3 linked regions of the Arabidopsis thaliana genome follow. The protein of the gene in region 3 interacts with the protein of the main gene of each other region in a pairwise test. Each region holds a gene or a part of one and is shown on either strand. Other genes may lie near its edges.

Region 1 (4,549 bases), about 24 Mb from region 3:
ATCGTCTGTCCTTTCGCCACCATGATACATATACACCTTCAAGATTCCCGGTACAGTATGCTCCTCTAACTGTGTTATCCATGCTGAAATCACAGAAGGTGGACAAACGATCAACGTTGTCTTTTGAGACACATTCATGCCAACAACATCATCAGTTTTAAGCTTCTTTCGAGTTACACTTTCACTGCTCTTGCCTCTTCCTCTCTTTTTACCCTTCTTTTCAATCTTGTCTCCTTCACCATCCAAAGGCTCTTCGGTTGGCGTACTGGTGGATGCATTGCCATATCTATCAAAAGCTATCAGGGAAAGCAAAGTAAGGGTCTTACCCAACCCCATATCATCAGCAAACACCCCTCCACGCAAAGGATCAGGCCGCTTATCCGAGCGGTAATTCGTCAAAGTATTCAAAAATTCTCCATCTTTCTCCTCCCAAAACGGAGGCAATTCTCCAGATTTCTCTCTATGGAGTAACCAGCCTAATCCTTCCTTCTGATGAGCAAAAAGTTCAGACTTTATCACTTCCCTAGGTGGCTCAGCCGCTACCAATTTCCCCATTAACTTCACATTCTCATCAACAAGTTTAAAAATCTTATCAACACTCCTCTTATCTCCATTTCCCATCTGTTCCTTAACCACAACAGCCTCAGATAACCCAAACGATGTATCTGACTCCGAAATCAATACTAACCCACCTCTAGAAATCGTCGATTTCACAGTAGAGGACGCTTCTAACTTTGCAAATACATGAATTTGACAAGGGATTCTGTACCTATTGGAGTTAGAACGAGTATTGGGTACAATACCCTCGACGACGATCGTGTGAGAATCAATCATCGGCGCGAGAACGGCTGCTACTGTACGCTCGATGTGACCCACTTGCTCAGATCGCGTGTTGAGTACTCTGATTGCATTATTGTCATATACGTTCAAGGGTTCTCGAACCAGACCCACCATCTCTCGACCGTTGATTCGGCCGGAATAGTACTTTAACCCTACTATGTTCGCGATAACAAACCCTATCAGATAAGACTCCGAAACACAGTCCTGAGATTGCTGCTGTGATGGTTCCACCGGAGATTGGAATTCGTCTTCGTTCGCCATGGGAGAGGAAGAGAAGCGTCGAAGAAACTGAGCCATGGGAGAGGAACGATGACGGAGAGAAGAAGGAGCTCGAAAGTATTTCAAAACCCGCATCCTTTCGAAAGAGTGGTTTTTTTTTTTATATTGGTATCATAAAGTAACTAAAATTGAGATTTGCATCTCAAATTCTTATAAATAGAATTTGACACCCCAAAGTCAGAACAATATCAAGTTTTTATTATTATATGAAATTCAAATGCAAATAACAACCAAGTTTATTACAATGTTCAAGTGCACAAGTACTGATTTGACACAAGCCGATAATACTATGCAAGAAAACAAAGGTGAGGAATGAAAGTTTAAGAAATACTTAAAAGGGAAAGATTACAATTTCACAGTTTGAGTGAGAGAGAAAGGGAAGAACCATCATTTTCTTTCTCAGCATCCATCTCTTCTGTTGCATCATTTGGTTCTTGAGGTTGTGGTTGGGTTTGGGAGCTACCAATGCCAAGGCAAAGATCCAAACATATTGGTGACGATAGTGGTTGAGGTTGAGATTGGGGTAGGAATGGGATCCCGGTAAAGGTCCAATCCTGGTTCATTCCTTGACTTGGGTCACTTTGTAGTCCTGCAAAGCTAGAGCTTGAGGATCCCACATATTGGTTGTAGACCATGGACATCTTGTATGATCTATCAACTTTGTACTGAGGCTGTTCAAATCCCGGTGGGAGTGCGTATTGGTTAGGAAATGAATGATGATACGAATACGAGTACGCGTAAAGATCTGGTTCTGGTCGGTTCAAATGCGCCAAAAATGCTTTTTGTTGTTTTTCGACCTCTCTCTCCTTTCTGTGTGCATTTTGATGACCACCTAATGCTTGTGTTTTATCGAACTTCCTAGGACAATACTTGCATTTGTATATAGGATTCTCTATCGATCCGGTGGCGGAGGCATCGTCGCTAATATCACTAGCGTAATTCGAGTCCGAGGACAACATTTCGTTGTCGATCGGATCGGGCTTTTAGAAATTAGGTTTGATGGCTTGAATATGTTATTGCACCCGGATAGGTATTTAAAGATTTAATACTTTGTATGCACTTTTAATATCAAGGAAAGTTATATGTTGTAATGTTATGATGTTTGAATAAGATAAATGCATATTGATGAAATATGGAAAGGGACTTAGTTATAGAGAAACATGATGAAGAACAAAGACTAACTGAAGTACTTAACAAACTAGTTTATCATTTCGACAACTCACACATAACATGTTTAATTACTATATATATTTGACATTTTACATTTGCCGAATTTGCGTAGTAAATTTGTTTCTGAATTAATACTTGTTGCATTTAGCATATTTAGTCAAAATTAGTTCCAAACATTACTGATTTCCAAAGTGAGTAGGGAGATTTTGGTTTTGCCCTATTAAATTTGAGATATAGTTGAAAACAAAATTATTTAGAAGAGTTTAAAGAGTTAATTAGTAGATCTTAATGTAGTCAACTTTAGAAAACAAGAATTAAAGATTTAATTAGTGTCATTATGTAGTAAACTTTTAGTACATAATTATCTCAACTCTTAAATAAAATATTTACCTTTAAGTTTTCTATTGTTTTCCATTGCTTGCAATTTTATTTATTTTCATATACATCACTTTGGAGGTAATAAAAATAAAATTATTTTCATATCAACATAATGAAAATATATATTAAAAGTAAGTAATTAAACTAAATTTGGCTACCTTTTAATAAGAGTAGAGAAACTGATGGAAGCATTTTACCATCAAATCTATAATGCTGATTCTCACATCAAAAAAGCATTAACTTAATAATTTTACTATGACATATAGCACATTTTCAGACTTTCTTGTGATATACATGGCTTAGTATGACAGATTGGATTAAACTTAAGATAATGAACATCTATGTATAGTCAAGGTTTAAACAAGATATTCAACTCTAACATACCAAATTAAAATCTATATAGTTTCTTAGCTATCTTTTCAGCATTAAAATATACAGATTGGATTAAACTTATGATATTGAACATCTATGTAATCAAGGTTTATAAACTTTGTAAACATTTTTATAAATAGCACATTAATTGGAGATAAGAAGAAAGCTATATGTATTATAATTAGGGTTAGTGAACTTTGAGAGCTTGGATTGACGATGAACTTCCGCCGTATCATTGGTTCTAGTAGCCATCTCTTGAAAAGGGTCTGTACAACGGAGTATGCTCCGACATCGATCAGGGTTGATGTACTTGCGAAGACAAAAGTGGAAAATAGGAGGATGGAGAAGAAGAGAATCATGCATGTTCGAGAAACTGCAATCTCTCACTGAGCCGGAGGGAATAGCGCACACGTTAAACAAGTTGATGAGGATTGAGAAGGAGCACGAATCCGTCACCAGAGAAGATCTGAAGCACGTAGATTGGATGGTGCGACGACCTGTCTTTCCTTCAAAAGCAAAGATATTGATTGGTTATTAGCTACCTGAGAAGGAAAAAGGGGACTATAACACACTTTCAACACATTTCGTAAATCGCAACTGGTACCTGAGGCTGTCCAACACACTTTCGCAACTGAAACTCATGGTTTCTTTGATGGATTGTCTTAATGAATAACTTAACCACGGCTTTCAGATTTTCTCTTTGCCTTTTAAATCTCTCTTGTAATTAGAGGTAAAATCTCTAGTGCAATCTTTTGCATTTTGCAATTTGCGCTTCTGAGTCACCTAGGCTTCTTCCTAGTGCAATTTTTGAAGGGTCACTTGCAGCAATGACCTAGTTCGATAATAAAACGAAGCTTATGACACTGTACTATGGAAAATTAAGAAAGTGCGTCTTTGATCGTTTTGAGTAAATGGTTTTGTTTACATAGAACATATAACATGAAATGGTATAGAACAAAGAAAACATTCTATATTGTTTTATTCATTTAATCTCTATATCAAATTACTAAAAAAACACATTTTTGAACATTTTATATGATTTCTACAATCAAAAATAAAATATTGTAATGATTTGTGTTCTATATAAGAAACAAAATTTTAGATAATAGCCAAATTAACCATACAAAAAACAAAGTAATGTTTGTGTGAACAACCTCTCCACTTCTGCTTCCCAAGACAAATTTGACCAAATGCCAAAGACTGAGCATAAGTACCAAACACATATTGAGAAGCAGCACCAAACTGATCTTTGAGGTTGAGAAAAGAAAACTGATCTTTTGCATATTTTTTTTTCAAAGGATTAACAACATTGATTTAAAATGGGCTTTCAGATGAGTCCATAAAATGGGCTTAAAAATCATATTTAATGGCCCATAATATTTGTTTGCTTCTCTTAAACGGAAAGAGTCTTTAACCGGCGAAAGAAACCACCCTCTGACTGTTAAGAAAATTCTCATCGGCGTTTAGATCAGAAACTTGGGAATCGGAGAAGCTCACTGAGAACAATGGA
Region 2 (6,395 bases), on a different chromosome or scaffold from region 3:
ATTGACAAAAATATTGTCGCACTTAAGGTCACGGTGAATTACAGGAGGGGTCTGAGAATGCAAATAGTGCAGGCCTTTAAGAATCTGCCTTGCCCAGTTCATGATGGCCTTGGGATCAACTTTGCGGTGCTTCTTGCGATAACTTTGGACCAAGAGAAATGACAATCAATGGAAAGGCAGACGTAGATATATTATAAGAGATAATGAAAAGAGAAGAAGAGAGGAGAGGAGTAAGTAGACATACAGGGTGAGACTACCAGAGGTGAAAAGCTCAGTGATCATGTTGATGGACTTGTTATGATCATCAACCCAAGAGTAGAAGAGTTTGATGATGTTATCATGTTTAAGGGAATTGAGGAGATGGACTTCGGAATATAGCCTATCAAGTTGGCCAGGCATCTGCAAGACATCTTCAATGCTCATGAGGTTCCAAGCAACTTCAATACCTTCGACTTCATCAAATGCCTTATATCTACACGCGGCGAGGTAACAACAACAACAAGAGATGAGAAAAATACTTAAAAAGCAATCAGAGTAACATAGGCACTGCAATGAAAAAGTAAAGGACGTATAAACAAACAAACATACACAGTTTTGAAGGCTCCTCTCCCGAGAACGTCATTATACTGAAGAAAGAAAGAAGAAGATTGTTATCCTAAAGTGACCTTCCAAGCCATTAACGTAGCTATTACTTATATAAATCTTATCGAGGAAAAGTCTATAGATTGACATTGTTATCCTAGAAACCATGGAAATTGCAGATAGCGTCGTACCCTAATGTAGCGACCAGTGGGATCTTTCTGGACGAAGTCAGCCTCTTCCATGGCAGATATTCTAACCTAATGATACTAATAATCCGGAAGCAGAAGAAGAAGAAGAAGAAAGGAGGGATGATGATTGGTGGTTACAGAAGGGTGAGGAGATGGAAGGAGATTGGATCGGAGAAGGCCTCACGGGCGAAGCAATAGGAGTCGATCGCCGATCGGAATCGAGATCGGGAACAGAGGAGTGTGGCGGCCATCTCCGAGATGATGACGGTGGTGAGATGGTTCTGCGTTTGTGTCAGCGTCGTGTCTCTTATTATTGTTATTGGATAGAAGAAGAAGAGCATCTCCTCCATTCATCAACCATCCACCATTGCTTTTAGACAACGACCGATGAAGAAGCTTCAATTTCGCCACCAAATTTCACAAATATCAACAAAAATCAATTTCTCTCTCTCTCTCGAAACCCTAAAAACAGATTGAGGATTTGATCTTTGTTCAACTTTTTATTTATATACAGTGTCTCCCCTTTATCCTCGTCAAGGATAACGGGCATCTATTTTCTGATTCAGTCAGTTAACTGTTATCCACCCAAAACGGTGTCGTTACGTTCCTTTTTTCTTTAAATGGGCCTTCTTTCTTTGTCTTAGTCAATGTTTTAAAGCCCATACAATCTTCTTCTTTTTTTTCCACGAGCCCATACAATCTTCTTTGATGTAATGTTACTACTATTTATCAACAGATTCTTGTGTTGTTGTTGTAACAAAAAGAAAGAAAATCAAAGTGGTAGGTATTATACTATGATAATAAATCATCATGTTTGGTGTGGTGTTGAAAGAGCTGAACAAGTGAGTACAAGACTTGAATCCTTGTGACTTGTGGCTTTGCCTGTACGATGAAGTGTGCCCATATTTGTCCTTTTCTTGTTTCCATCACTCCTTTCAATATCTTCAATCCCAATCCTCTCACCACTTGTCCTATCTCCAAGAACTCCTCTCTTTCCTCACACACCATCTCTATCTGCATTTCTCCTTCCCTGTTCAATTCCTCCACCATTATCGGACATACCACTCCTTCTTCCCCCACTTCCAACGCCCATGTTCTCTCTTTCTCCTTCACCAGCTGATAAACATCATTCACTCATCAATACTCAAACACTTGTGTACTTACTGAATGGATATATTTGATTCATTACCTTAGACTCGTATGGTTGTTTGAGTCTCTCTGCATACTTGGCGAGGCTTTGCATGAACACCATGTGTTTTATGGTCAGATCCAGCAACGTATCTATGCTACACTGTTTAAATATATATCGAAACTTATTAGAGAATGCATTTGTTAATCTATAATTTGGATGCCCTAAACTAAACTATATTATTATTCAATTTACCTTAGCTCCATTTGGAATCATCCCTCGCAACTCCTTGATACGGTCTTGTATCATCTGACGGTCCTTAGGCCTCGGCCTCCTGCTTTCTCCTGCCTTTGCTCTTTTCTTCTTCACACCTTCTTCGTGAGGCTTCTTCCAGTTCCCTCCAATACTTGATCTCTCATCATCATCAATCCACAAACTCCGACTTGTTACTGTCTCCTCCTGAGGGAACAAGCTTGAGCTATGCGCCGATGATGTATCAAGCTTCCGTCTTTTGCTCTGGTTCACACCAGAGTACTCTTGCACGTTCGTGAGAGAACTACTACAAGTGTTGTTGCTAAGACTGCTGCTTATGAGCTCTGAGAAGAGTCCTTTAGGTGGCAAAGCCATTGTAGGCGTTTGAGAATTCATCCCCAAAATGTCGAAAAGATCCTTGTCAACTCCTTGGATCACCATGGAAGAGCAGTTCTGTTCTGGTGGATCAGCGAGCAGCTGGTATAGATCGTCCAGAGAGTAAGACTGGAGAATGTCGAACCCATAATCATCTCCATTGGTCAGATCTTGGTTGGAAGAAGCTGCTTCAGAGGAGATCATCTCAGGGCTGAGCAAAGAAGGAGGATTGTCCTCAGCGAAGATGTCATCAAAGCTAAATCCTTGAAAAGATTCAGCTGGGAAAATCTCACAATCTCCCAGTGACTCAAACAGAGTATCGAGATCACCGGAATCATGTGGCTTTAAACACGTCTCCTGGAGAGCTCTTGTTGTTTGTTCCAATATCTCTGTGCTCTCAAGAATCTAAAGATTGATAGTAAGTAATTAGACCATGACTTCCACAACAAGAAAACATTGTTATATAATTATATATGCAAACCTTTTGAGTAGATCCTAGCTGAACAACGCCGCTGGATCCTAGTGGAATGATTGCGATAGTCTGTGTATAAGTAAACTGCCGTATAAGAATCTGATTCAAAATGGATATATGAATCCTTAAACTTGGAGAGAAGACAAAATATAAATTACCTTAAAGCCACAGAGAAACTGATTCTGAAACTCATGTTCCCACTGCAAAACAATCAAACGCACGAATATCAAATCTTTTTTCTTCTTCATCATGAAATGTTCTATGCAGTCACTATATTTCGACATACATTATAGCTCACAGATGAGAAAAATCAAACACCAAGAAAAAGAAGTGAACAAACCTGAAACAATGTGTCTGAGAACAGCCATTGATGGTTTCCGGATGAAGCTACTTCTCCCACAATTCTAATTTCATCAAAAGAAAAGTATATTGAAGATATATAAACACAAACACAGAGACAGATATATAAAAGATTTGAGTGAAGTGTAAAAGCATACCCTTGGCCTAAGATAGGAGCCTGGAGAACCATATCATCAACTAGTGCGACTGATTGTTCATCATTGTATGCTTCTTCAAATCTCAATATCCTGATGGAATTCAACAAAACTAAATTACATTTATGGACACCAAAGTAGGGAAGCCACATATAAAACCAGAGGATATGCAATTCAGTCTTTTGCCTAAATCAACGGAAAACAAAACTAGTTTTATGCAAATATTATCCAAGACAGGAACATGCATATAACATTCGAAAGAAAAAAGAGAGAAATTACATGGAATTGATGGGATCATAACGCCAAAACACAGCATAAGACCATCCATGGCTTAAACAGAGACTCTTCAATATATGCTTATACTCTGAACCCATATTTAGGAATCCAAGCCGGGAAGAGCCCTTTTAATTTCTGCAGGATCTCGAACTCTTAAAAAGGACAACAACTTTTGTCTTCTCCAGAAACCAAACTCCAAAGATAAAGAAAAGCTGGAAACAGAGGAAAAATGTGGGTTTTTGAGTTTTCTCTTTTTTTCTTTAATTTTCTGCAGATAGAAAAAAATACAGAGAAAATTCCTTTGAGTTTTGCTTTTTGTTCAAGCAATTAAAAAGGAGTTAAGAGCTTTGTCTCTCTATATATATAACCAAACAATAACATGAAATGTTTGTAATTCGATAAGAAGTGGAAGAGCCTTTTTGTCTGAGGAATTAAATATATTACTATTATTTATTTGATGTGATTTGTCTGCCGGTGTCCAGTCACGCTTTTGTCCCGGAAGTGACGTGAATTACACCGGCTATTGCCGGTTTAGTGAAAAAGTTTGCTTTGATTACTATATATTTATTTGTTGTCTTTTGAAAAATTTAGGACGGGAGAGGATCTTCGAGGGTATAATTTCCATAAAGGGAGATTTTATTTTGATTTTACTTTTTATCATCGATTCATTAAATACTCGATACGAATTTATGATATACTTTAATAGTATTCAATATATTTAGATATGATTAATTAACTAACATTTGATGAAAATTTCTATAGTGGAAACTGGTGCAATGGAAAAATAAAAATGAGGAGAATGTGATCCCCACAACAGAGGAAGATAAATGGTGCTGTGGAGTTTCTAGCGATCATCTTCTCCCTCGTATCCTATATCTTGAACATCATATTAAAGCTTAACATCGACCGTTTTTGGTTGGAAAATATGGTTTAGAGTTATAAAGAAAGAATGACCGCCTCTTTAGTGTATGGGCCAATGAGGTTCCCAAAATATGTGTCACCTAAATCTTGAATTCTCGGTATGATAATCTTGACTTAAGTAGTTCTCAAATCTCGATCCACTGCCTCATATAATTATATCAACAGTCTAACACCAATGTCGTCAGCAGTCACATACATTCGTAGAGTATGCATTCATATATAAGCCAGATATATACATATCATAAGAGATTTGTTATACCTATATTCATCCAAATGTTTAGTTGTGGTCTCTTGTGGTACCAACCTAAAAAAAATAAGGTTATGCTTCCGCCTTAAGTCTTGAGAGCTACTATCTTTTTTCTTTAATATAACTAAACATCTTATTATTATCAGGAAACCATGCATGTTTAATTTTAAGTTTATATAGAAGATCACAAGCAAGGAAAAATGTGAATGTTAAATAGACTTGAACATTAGTTCATGAATAGTATTAAACGTGTTTTAATTTGTTACTTTATTACTTTATTTTAGCTATTTATTTGTACATGGTGCTATTTTGTACCTATGTTTTGAGTTTTCAATGGATTATTTATATCTTAAAACTTTATACTATATAAACTCTGATATCAACCTTCGAATTTCATGATTTTACTGAATATTACTATGGAAATACGATATAAAATAGAATTTAGAGAACATCAAAGGCATATATAGCAAACGTTAGAAATACATGCCTCAATATTTGAGACCCATTTTTGTTACTCGCAAGTCGCGCAACATCTCACACCACACATTACATGCCTAAGCCTAAGTGCCACAAATACATCACCTTTAAAAAAAAAAAAAAAAAACTTCTCGGCCTAAGCTAATGTACATGCACTTAATACACTTTTAGCTTCTTGATAGTGGTAGAGAATATCAATAGATATCCACAAATCTTGAAATGGAATAAGTGATTATAATTACATATCAAATGAAGAAAAACTCATCAATCAATTTATTTTTTGGGGTTATTAGAAATAGCCATAATTTGGTCTCTTATACTCATCACACGCTCAATCATGGCCGTTGAGAACAAAAGTCAACGGCATCAAGATTTTCACCTTAATCCTTTTTCGTCTTTAGTTGATTTATTGTCCCTTTTCGAAACTTTCCGTTCTTATTACAATTGTGTCCGAAAGTGGTGAAATAAATCCAAAAGTTGGATTTTATGTTGTACACTTGCTTTTTGTTAGATAAGCTATTTTAAAACTTTTCGTTAAAATATGTGACTAGAGAACATATTTTTCTGTCAAAAACAAAACAAAATTCCTTTATCGCTTAAAACTTAAGAGTAACTCTAACTAACTACCATTAGTCCACATATATATGTACTAAGATAGAGATAGTGTTGGATTCATACTTTTCTTTAAATTTAGAGTATTTTATTCATAATATACATAATTTTTGTTAGATTTGATAATATATTTTTACTATGACAGTTGCAAATATGTATTGTTTATGTGACAAATTCTTTATTCAATGAGTTGTGGAAAACAAGGTAAAACTTATTATATAATCCAATCATATTTTTAAAAACAACTACAAAATATTACGAATTTATATGTCATGGTTAACCGCTAAAAACTTCATCTTTGAAAGCACACAAAATTTTTAAAATCTTTTGCATTTGACTCTTAATTTGTTCGAAAAAATAGCTATGGAGA
Region 3 (6,767 bases):
GAGAGGGAATAACAACAATGGTGGTGGTGGTGGTGGTAATAATCAGAATGCGAAAATGAGAGTGGCGAGGCTTGTGGATAGTTATCTCACCGAAGTTGCTAGAGATCGGAATTTGCCGTTGACAAAGTTTCAGGTTTTGGCTGAGGCGTTACCGGAATCTGCTAGGACTTGTGACGATGGACTATACAGAGCCATTGATTCATATCTCAAGGTATATATATATTGAAGGTCTTTTTGGTAAATTCGTAGAATAGTTTTCAACATTTTTTTGGCTTAATTTTGTTGTGATAGGCGCATCCGACATTATCGGAGCATGAGAGGAAACGGCTATGCCGAGTGATGGATTGTCAAAAACTATCAATGGACGCATGTATGCACGCGGCTCAGAACGAGAGGTTGCCATTGAGAGTGGTGGTTCAAGTTCTCTTCTCGGAGCAAGTCAAGATCAGCAATGCTTTAGCCAACACATCACTCAAGGAGTCAACCACTTTAGGAGAAGCCATGGGTACGTATCAGCCTATGATCCCAAATCGCAAGACATTGATCGAAGCAACACCACAATCGTTTCAGGCAAGTAAGAGAAAACACTCATCAAAATTCACACAAATTCCTTTTTTCTAATTCCTCTACTTTGAATGCAGGAAGGATGGGCTGCAGCCAAGAAGGATATTAACACGTTGAAGTTCGAGTTAGAGACGGTGAAGACCAAGTACGTCGAGCTTCAGAACGAGATGGAAGTGATGCAACGACAGTTTGAGAAGACGGGGAAAGTGAAGAACACGCCATCTTCTTCGGCTTGGACCAGCGGTTGGAAGAAGCTAAGTAAACTGACTAAGATGAGTGGACAGGAGAGCCATGACATATCCTCTGGAGGAGAACAAGCTGGTGTTGATCATCCACCCCCCAGGAAACCAAGACGATGGAGGAACTCAATTTCATGAAGTGATAGTGATGGTTTTGTATCTTCTTGATTTTGATTCTTTGAAAAGAAAAAGCTTTTGTTTGTTCCTAATTTGTAATGTTTATTGGTTTCTAATATGGAATAAGTGACATAAACGATTCGATTTTTATCACAAACCAAAAAACGCCATTTGTTTATTACAAAACCATTTAACAATACAACAATAGAGACACAACAATACCAGTAGCATGTGGGTTGAAGCAAAAGACAAAGGAATAGTTTGCATTATTACAGACACTCAAATTAATTACATGAACATGACATCAATATTTCATAAAAATCATGGACCCATCTAGTCATCATATGGACAAAAGAGTGTGTGTGGGTCAGAGATATTTTATTACCTTAGGGGAGATTCATAGATCACGCGAGCTTGAGATGAGACTTTGAATATTTGCCTTTTGATTTCACCATCCACACTCAGCCAAAAAAGATAATCATTGTCCATCAATGACCATGACGACTTTGGCTTTTCATTCCACACAGAGAGAAGAAGAAAGTGACCTCTTTTCTTCTTTAACTTTTTGAAATTTGCAGTAGCATATATAATACTTAAAAGTAGTCCACTATATACAGCTAAAAAGCTGGTGCAGAGGATACGTACCCAAAAACCCACTTCACACGTTTTAACTCGTCAGAATCTTTCACGCCTTATCTGTCTGCAGATTTCTTGTTCCCCATGTTGTCTCTTTAAGCAACAAGATTGGTGACTTGTGAGTGGTGGAGCTTTGGTTCTTAACCTCTGTGGAGATTAAGTCTCGTTTCAGCAACTTTAGGTAATCAATTGCTTCGTCCAGAAGTAAGAGCGCTTCGTTTCCTTTTGCACCAGGGACTACGCTCTCGAGTATTTTCAGAGCTGTGCGGATCTTGTCTTTCTTCGACTGCTCGTTGCTCAGACCAGAACCAGTGTCCTCTTTGGTCGATATGGTTTTTGATTCAGGGAGCTTTTTGTCCTTAAGAAAGGAAGATCCATTGAGTTGTGTGGAGCTCTCAGTGCCCACAAGTGATGATAAGTCGCTGATGTTGTTGACCTTATCCAGTAGTTTCTGCCTTTTACAAGGACCATCGATTTCTTCTAATTCCCTTTTGTTGCAAACTCCTTCATTTGGATAAGGAGAGTGACCAGTGCTCATTACTTCATCATCACTCTCGCAATCATCATCATAATCATCATCTGAATATAGCAATGCATTGATCTCCTCAGTGTCTTCATGCATTTCTGACTCTGTTCCATCACTCTTGTGAAACTCTTCACCATCTTCTTTGAAAGCTTTCTCTATACCTTGTAACTCAGAGAGTTTCACTGGTTCTGCAGCCGCATGAGATGGAAACCGTAGAGGAAATGGACATTGTAATAGACGAGTCTGGTCTCCTGACTGATCGAATATCAAAAGTCTTTTCTGAGAAGACTCTAATGCTCCAAGTGGAGTAGTAGTAGTAGTAGCAGCAGCGCACCAAGACCGCATGTCAGACCGTGAGAATCTTTTTCCATAAGACTCCTTATCATGACTGCACAGCAAAGACTGGAATGGTGGTGGCTGCAAACAGCGAGCCTGAAGCTTAGCTGCATATAGTTTCCCAAGCTCAGGGAGAGGAATTCTAGGAAGGACAGACCGACCTACTATATCCTTGAAGCAAGCTTGAGGACTTAAGCCCAGAGGCAAATCCCGTTGCCTCTTATCCAGAGGCATGCTCTTAGCAGTTTAGCTCAAGGGAACTTCAAAAAGTACAACACTGCAGGACAAAACAGAGGCAAAAATCAGCTCAAGAAAGATAAAGTCAGTAATATCACAAGCGTAATTAGAGGGAAAAGAGCATACCGATTGTTAAGTTGCTCAACTGAGTGAATGCAATACTTCTTGTGTCCTTTTCGAGAAAATAGTAAAAGAAAGACGAACGAAAAACAATCACAGATTGAAAAATGCAGCGAAATGTCACCAACCAACTACGTGACTGGTTTGAGTAGAAGTCTGAAGTACTCAGCCTGAAACACAAAGAATAATCACAAAACCACAGTGTTAGAAGACTAGAACTATATAAGCTAAAAGTATGATAACAAGAGCATTATTGTCTGGTACAAACCTGGCAATTATCCATCGGTTGATAGCATTCAATAACTCTCACTACAATTGTTGATTCGTTAGCGTTTCCGGTCTCGTACTTCAATCCTCGAAATCTTGTCTTACCAGGTGATTGGCACACCATAACTTTGAGGAAATCTTGATTGAAGAAAGTAGACAGATACCAAAACCAAAAGGAGGAAAGTTTTGTTTGTGGAAGGAGAGTGAGCTTTTAGTCTAGCTGATTCTTTGTTCACAATGGTACACATAGAAATGTTGTGATCCCATTTTCAAAAGTGTTTATAATATACCGAAAAAGAAGGGAAGATGAATAAGAAAGAAAAGGATTTGACTCTTGAAGGTGTTGCTTCAAAGGTGAAACAATCTACAGTATCACACGGCAATACAGATTCAAGCTCAAAACTTTACGGTATACGGCAATACACATGCTGTTTTCTCTTTCTCTTCCTCTTATACACACTCTAATTGATTCTGATCACTCAAACCTACTTTAGTATCTGTGCAAAAAGTCGAAGGAAGAATCTCATCAGCACCAAAAATGAGCTAAATCCAGAGATCAAAAACAGTAAAGGACATAGATTTATAAACGTCTAGCAAGTGGGTGTATTCACAGCATCAATTCCAGCAAAATTACGCTACATTTTACTATTACAACTCAGAATATACACAAATCACAATGTTCTAAGCTAGATTCAGACATAAATTACAGAACTTTACCATTTCACAAACGACTCAAACCGTTTTTAACCACAGTCTCCAGATACACAAACAGAGAGAACAGTGACACAGACTATAAGAGAGAAAAATTGGATTTTGATTACCTTAGAAAGGAATGATCTTTCGGTCAGATCCAGAGAAAACGATGAGACTTTTTTGTTTTTTTTTGAGCTGAATCAATGGAAAAGCAAAGGGATAAGAGAGATGAAAGTGACCAACGAACAATAATGTCTAAACGGAGAATTTTTTTTTACGAAATATTTCTAAAGAGGTGAGTGGCAACAAGAGTAACAAGGCTTTATAAAAAGATTTTATGACGCTTTTGCCCTTTTCATTACTTTATTTTACCAATTCACATTCTCAATTTTTTCGGTTTTTTGTTTGTTCTATATATCGAAATTAATTTTCATTCTATATTTTTTTAAAAGAAAAAAACTAAGATACGCAAAAGGTAACATAATTTAAGTTGTACAATTTGAATTTTTAATTATTTAGAGGAAAAATATGTGTAACTTGGAAATTAATCTAGTAATTAAAAACGGTGGCAATGTTTATATTTGTGCTTTGCTTGAAAGAAATGGGACAAGGGGGCCGAACGTGTATATACGTAATTATGGTATATATGATGACAAAGTCTCACGGTCCATAATTTCAGGTTATACTTTATCATTAAATAATATTTTTCTAACCAATATAATTTTTTAATATATACTTAATTCGTTAAAGTAAAAGTTCATACGTTTTCTCTTATTTATTTTAAAAGCTAAGTTAGTGAAAGTGTGGTCGAGCTTTATTATATCCTTAATTATTTTCTAAATAAATACTATTTCAGGTTATAATCCCTCTTTAATTTTATTGAAAGCTAAGTTAGTGAAAGTGTGCTCAAGCTTTTTTTCATCCTTAATTATATTTTAATAGTACATTTGTTCAGGTGCGGTGTTGTGTGTGTTTCAAACACCCATTGTGACGGAAAAGAATAAAAGCTAACCACTCTTTTTAATTGTTTAATTTAAATTGACAATTTAGCATCTATCTAGCTTATACAACGCCAAAATTAGCTCAATACTTTTGTTTTATTTTTAAAAATATTATGTAGACTTTCATTTATGTTAAAAGTTATTATTCATAAAAGGACTTATGTGATTGGGGAATGTGGGTGAAAAGAAAAAGAAAAGTAAAAAGAATGAAAATGAAAATGGAGAAAAGAAAAAGAAAAAAGAAGCATAAGTGATGATTAAAGAATTGCACGGGAATTTTAAGTGCTTAATTACCCGCACGACTTCTCTCGCGTCTCTCTCTTTTTTCTTCCTTTCTTTTGTTAACTTATGTATCTTGTCTGAAAAAGTTTTTAACTTTAGTCTTTTTTCTTCCTTTGATTTGATATTAAGAACAGTAATTTATACTGTGTTTTGAATTAGAAGTGGTCAATTCAAATTTCATTATGGTTGAGACCATTTGCTTTGGGTCTGATATGTCATTAAGATTGAAGTTTTAGTTTGATTCTTTTGTGCTTTTTATTGGCATTTTGATTGAATAAACAAAACCATTTTAATCAAAATAAAAAAACGGGAATAATATCATAATATAGTACAAACATTCCAACTGAAACACGAGACGGGTCTTTTCTTTTATTTAGATAAAAACGTTGTCCAAGAGTTTTAGAAGAGCAATGACATCACAAAGTTTTGTTGCATAAAGATCCCAGAAGCAATAAACATAAAGGGTTGTTTAATAATCTACCCACAGTTTAGGAGCTGGGGAGATCATTACTGCACGCTCAGTACTTCGATTTCAAAGTCGAGAACAGAGTTTGGCTGGATCCCCCATGCCGGAAATCCACCAGCGCCATATGCGTAATCCGATGAGCACTGCAGAAGCAGATAAGATCGCAAGCCAAAGATGTTAAACATATAACGAAACACCCAAACTATCATGAAAGACAAAAGTGCTTCAACAGAGAGCCATAAAAGCATAGATGGCAAAGAGGAACATGATGAGAGAAGCAGAGTATACATACCCGCAAGCGAGCAACCTCTCCAATTTGCATTCCGATAACGCCTTCATCCCATCCTGTAAGCAAAGTTAAACAATCGAATCATATGATGTTCACTCGCCAAAAAAGAGGCAAATAGGTTCAGAGATATGATATGATTAACCATAAAACAGAGTAAGTAAGTTTATACCTTTGATCACAGCACCTTTACCGATTTGGAACGAGAAAGGTTTTTGTCCCTCGTCCTTTGTACTATAATGATATACCAAAGAACAAAACACAGTTAGGCTCAAGGAAATACCAAATTAAATAAGTCTTTTAAGACGAAACATATTGATTTATAAACTGAGTATGCGTAGATGATAAGAACAAGTAAGTGTAATTATCTTTTTATTGATCCTAGAATCAAAGCTTACAATAAAGAATTATTTACCTCCAGAACTTCTGGGATAGATCACCATCTTTCCCTGCCAAAAAAAACACACACACAAGAGAAATAAGATTCTCAAACAAATTCATTTCAATTCCACACAAGAAACTGGATTATAAGATAAACAAGATTCTTTAATTAAACCTACAAATAGAAAATCTAAACAAGAGATCTATTCGTATGAAGTTTCAGATGAGCAGACAAATAATCTCGCAGAACAGCAAAATTACAGATTAATTATGACCTAAGTGTTACTATCACCACCCAGAATAGAACATAAACCCTAATTAAATCTATTTCACATCATAGAAAACAAACAAATAGCGAGTACGACTACCACAACACATCAAATAGCTCTTCAACAAAGCAGATTTGTATAGATCGATTTAGCCTATCATGGAATTTTCAAAGATATAAATATGCAGAGGAAAGTTACCGAATCCGGTGCAATGGACGGTGACGGTTTGGCCCGGAGCGGGTTTGGGACCGTTGCCGGGTCTGATGACTTGCTTCTCCACACCCATCTCTATATCTTCTCTCTGTCTCTCTCACTGTTTCGCGTTCTTTGCAGCTTCGAATCTCGGA

Evidence for each region. The genes of interacting proteins can lie anywhere in the genome.
Region 1: the proteins of SAC51 (region 3) and AT5G05120 interact in a two-hybrid assay, tested with the Arabidopsis thaliana proteins (one large-scale study listed by BioGRID).
Region 2: the proteins of SAC51 (region 3) and AT1G64625 interact in a two-hybrid assay, tested with the Arabidopsis thaliana proteins (one large-scale study listed by BioGRID).

The regions. Positions count from the first base shown.
Region 1 is NC_003076.8:1,508,761-1,513,309, reverse strand, and holds AT5G05120 (C2H2 and C2HC zinc fingers superfamily protein), read right to left. Parts: upstream 2,079-4,549; coding exon 1,473-2,078; downstream 1-1,472. Other genes in the region: AT5G05130 (DNA/RNA helicase protein), read right to left, coding at 1-1,194; AT5G05113 (uncharacterized protein), read left to right, coding at 3,320-3,577; AT5G05110 (Cystatin/monellin family protein), read left to right, coding at 4,545-4,549.
Region 2 is NC_003070.9:24,014,349-24,020,743, reverse strand, and holds AT1G64625 (Serine/threonine-protein kinase WNK (With No Lysine)-like protein), read right to left. Parts: upstream 4,089-6,395; 5' UTR 3,867-4,088; coding exon 3,772-3,866; intron 3,586-3,771; coding exon 3,496-3,585; intron 3,403-3,495; coding exon 3,339-3,402; intron 3,199-3,338; coding exon 3,157-3,198; intron 3,098-3,156; coding exon 3,008-3,097; intron 2,932-3,007; coding exon 2,155-2,931; intron 2,062-2,154; coding exon 1,960-2,061; coding exon of another isoform or gene 1,915-1,959; exon of another isoform or gene 1,887-1,914; coding exon 1,563-1,886; 3' UTR 1,473-1,562; downstream 1-1,472. Other genes in the region: WNK10 (with no lysine (K) kinase 10), read right to left, coding at 1-142, 245-472, 589-626, 774-824. UniProt on the Arabidopsis thaliana protein: Transcription factor that may regulate root development.
Region 3 is NC_003076.8:25,729,285-25,736,051, forward strand, and holds SAC51 (transcription factor SAC51), read right to left. Parts: upstream 4,030-6,767; 5' UTR 3,864-4,029; intron 3,540-3,863; 5' UTR 3,044-3,539; intron 2,946-3,043; 5' UTR 2,782-2,945; intron 2,696-2,781; 5' UTR 2,653-2,695; coding exon 1,606-2,652; 3' UTR 1,051-1,605; downstream 1-1,050. Other genes in the region: Phototropic-responsive NPH3 family protein, read left to right, coding at 1-211, 292-570, 642-941; FKBP12 (FK506-binding protein 12), read right to left, coding at 5,526-5,627, 5,777-5,829, 5,943-6,004, 6,186-6,219, 6,619-6,706.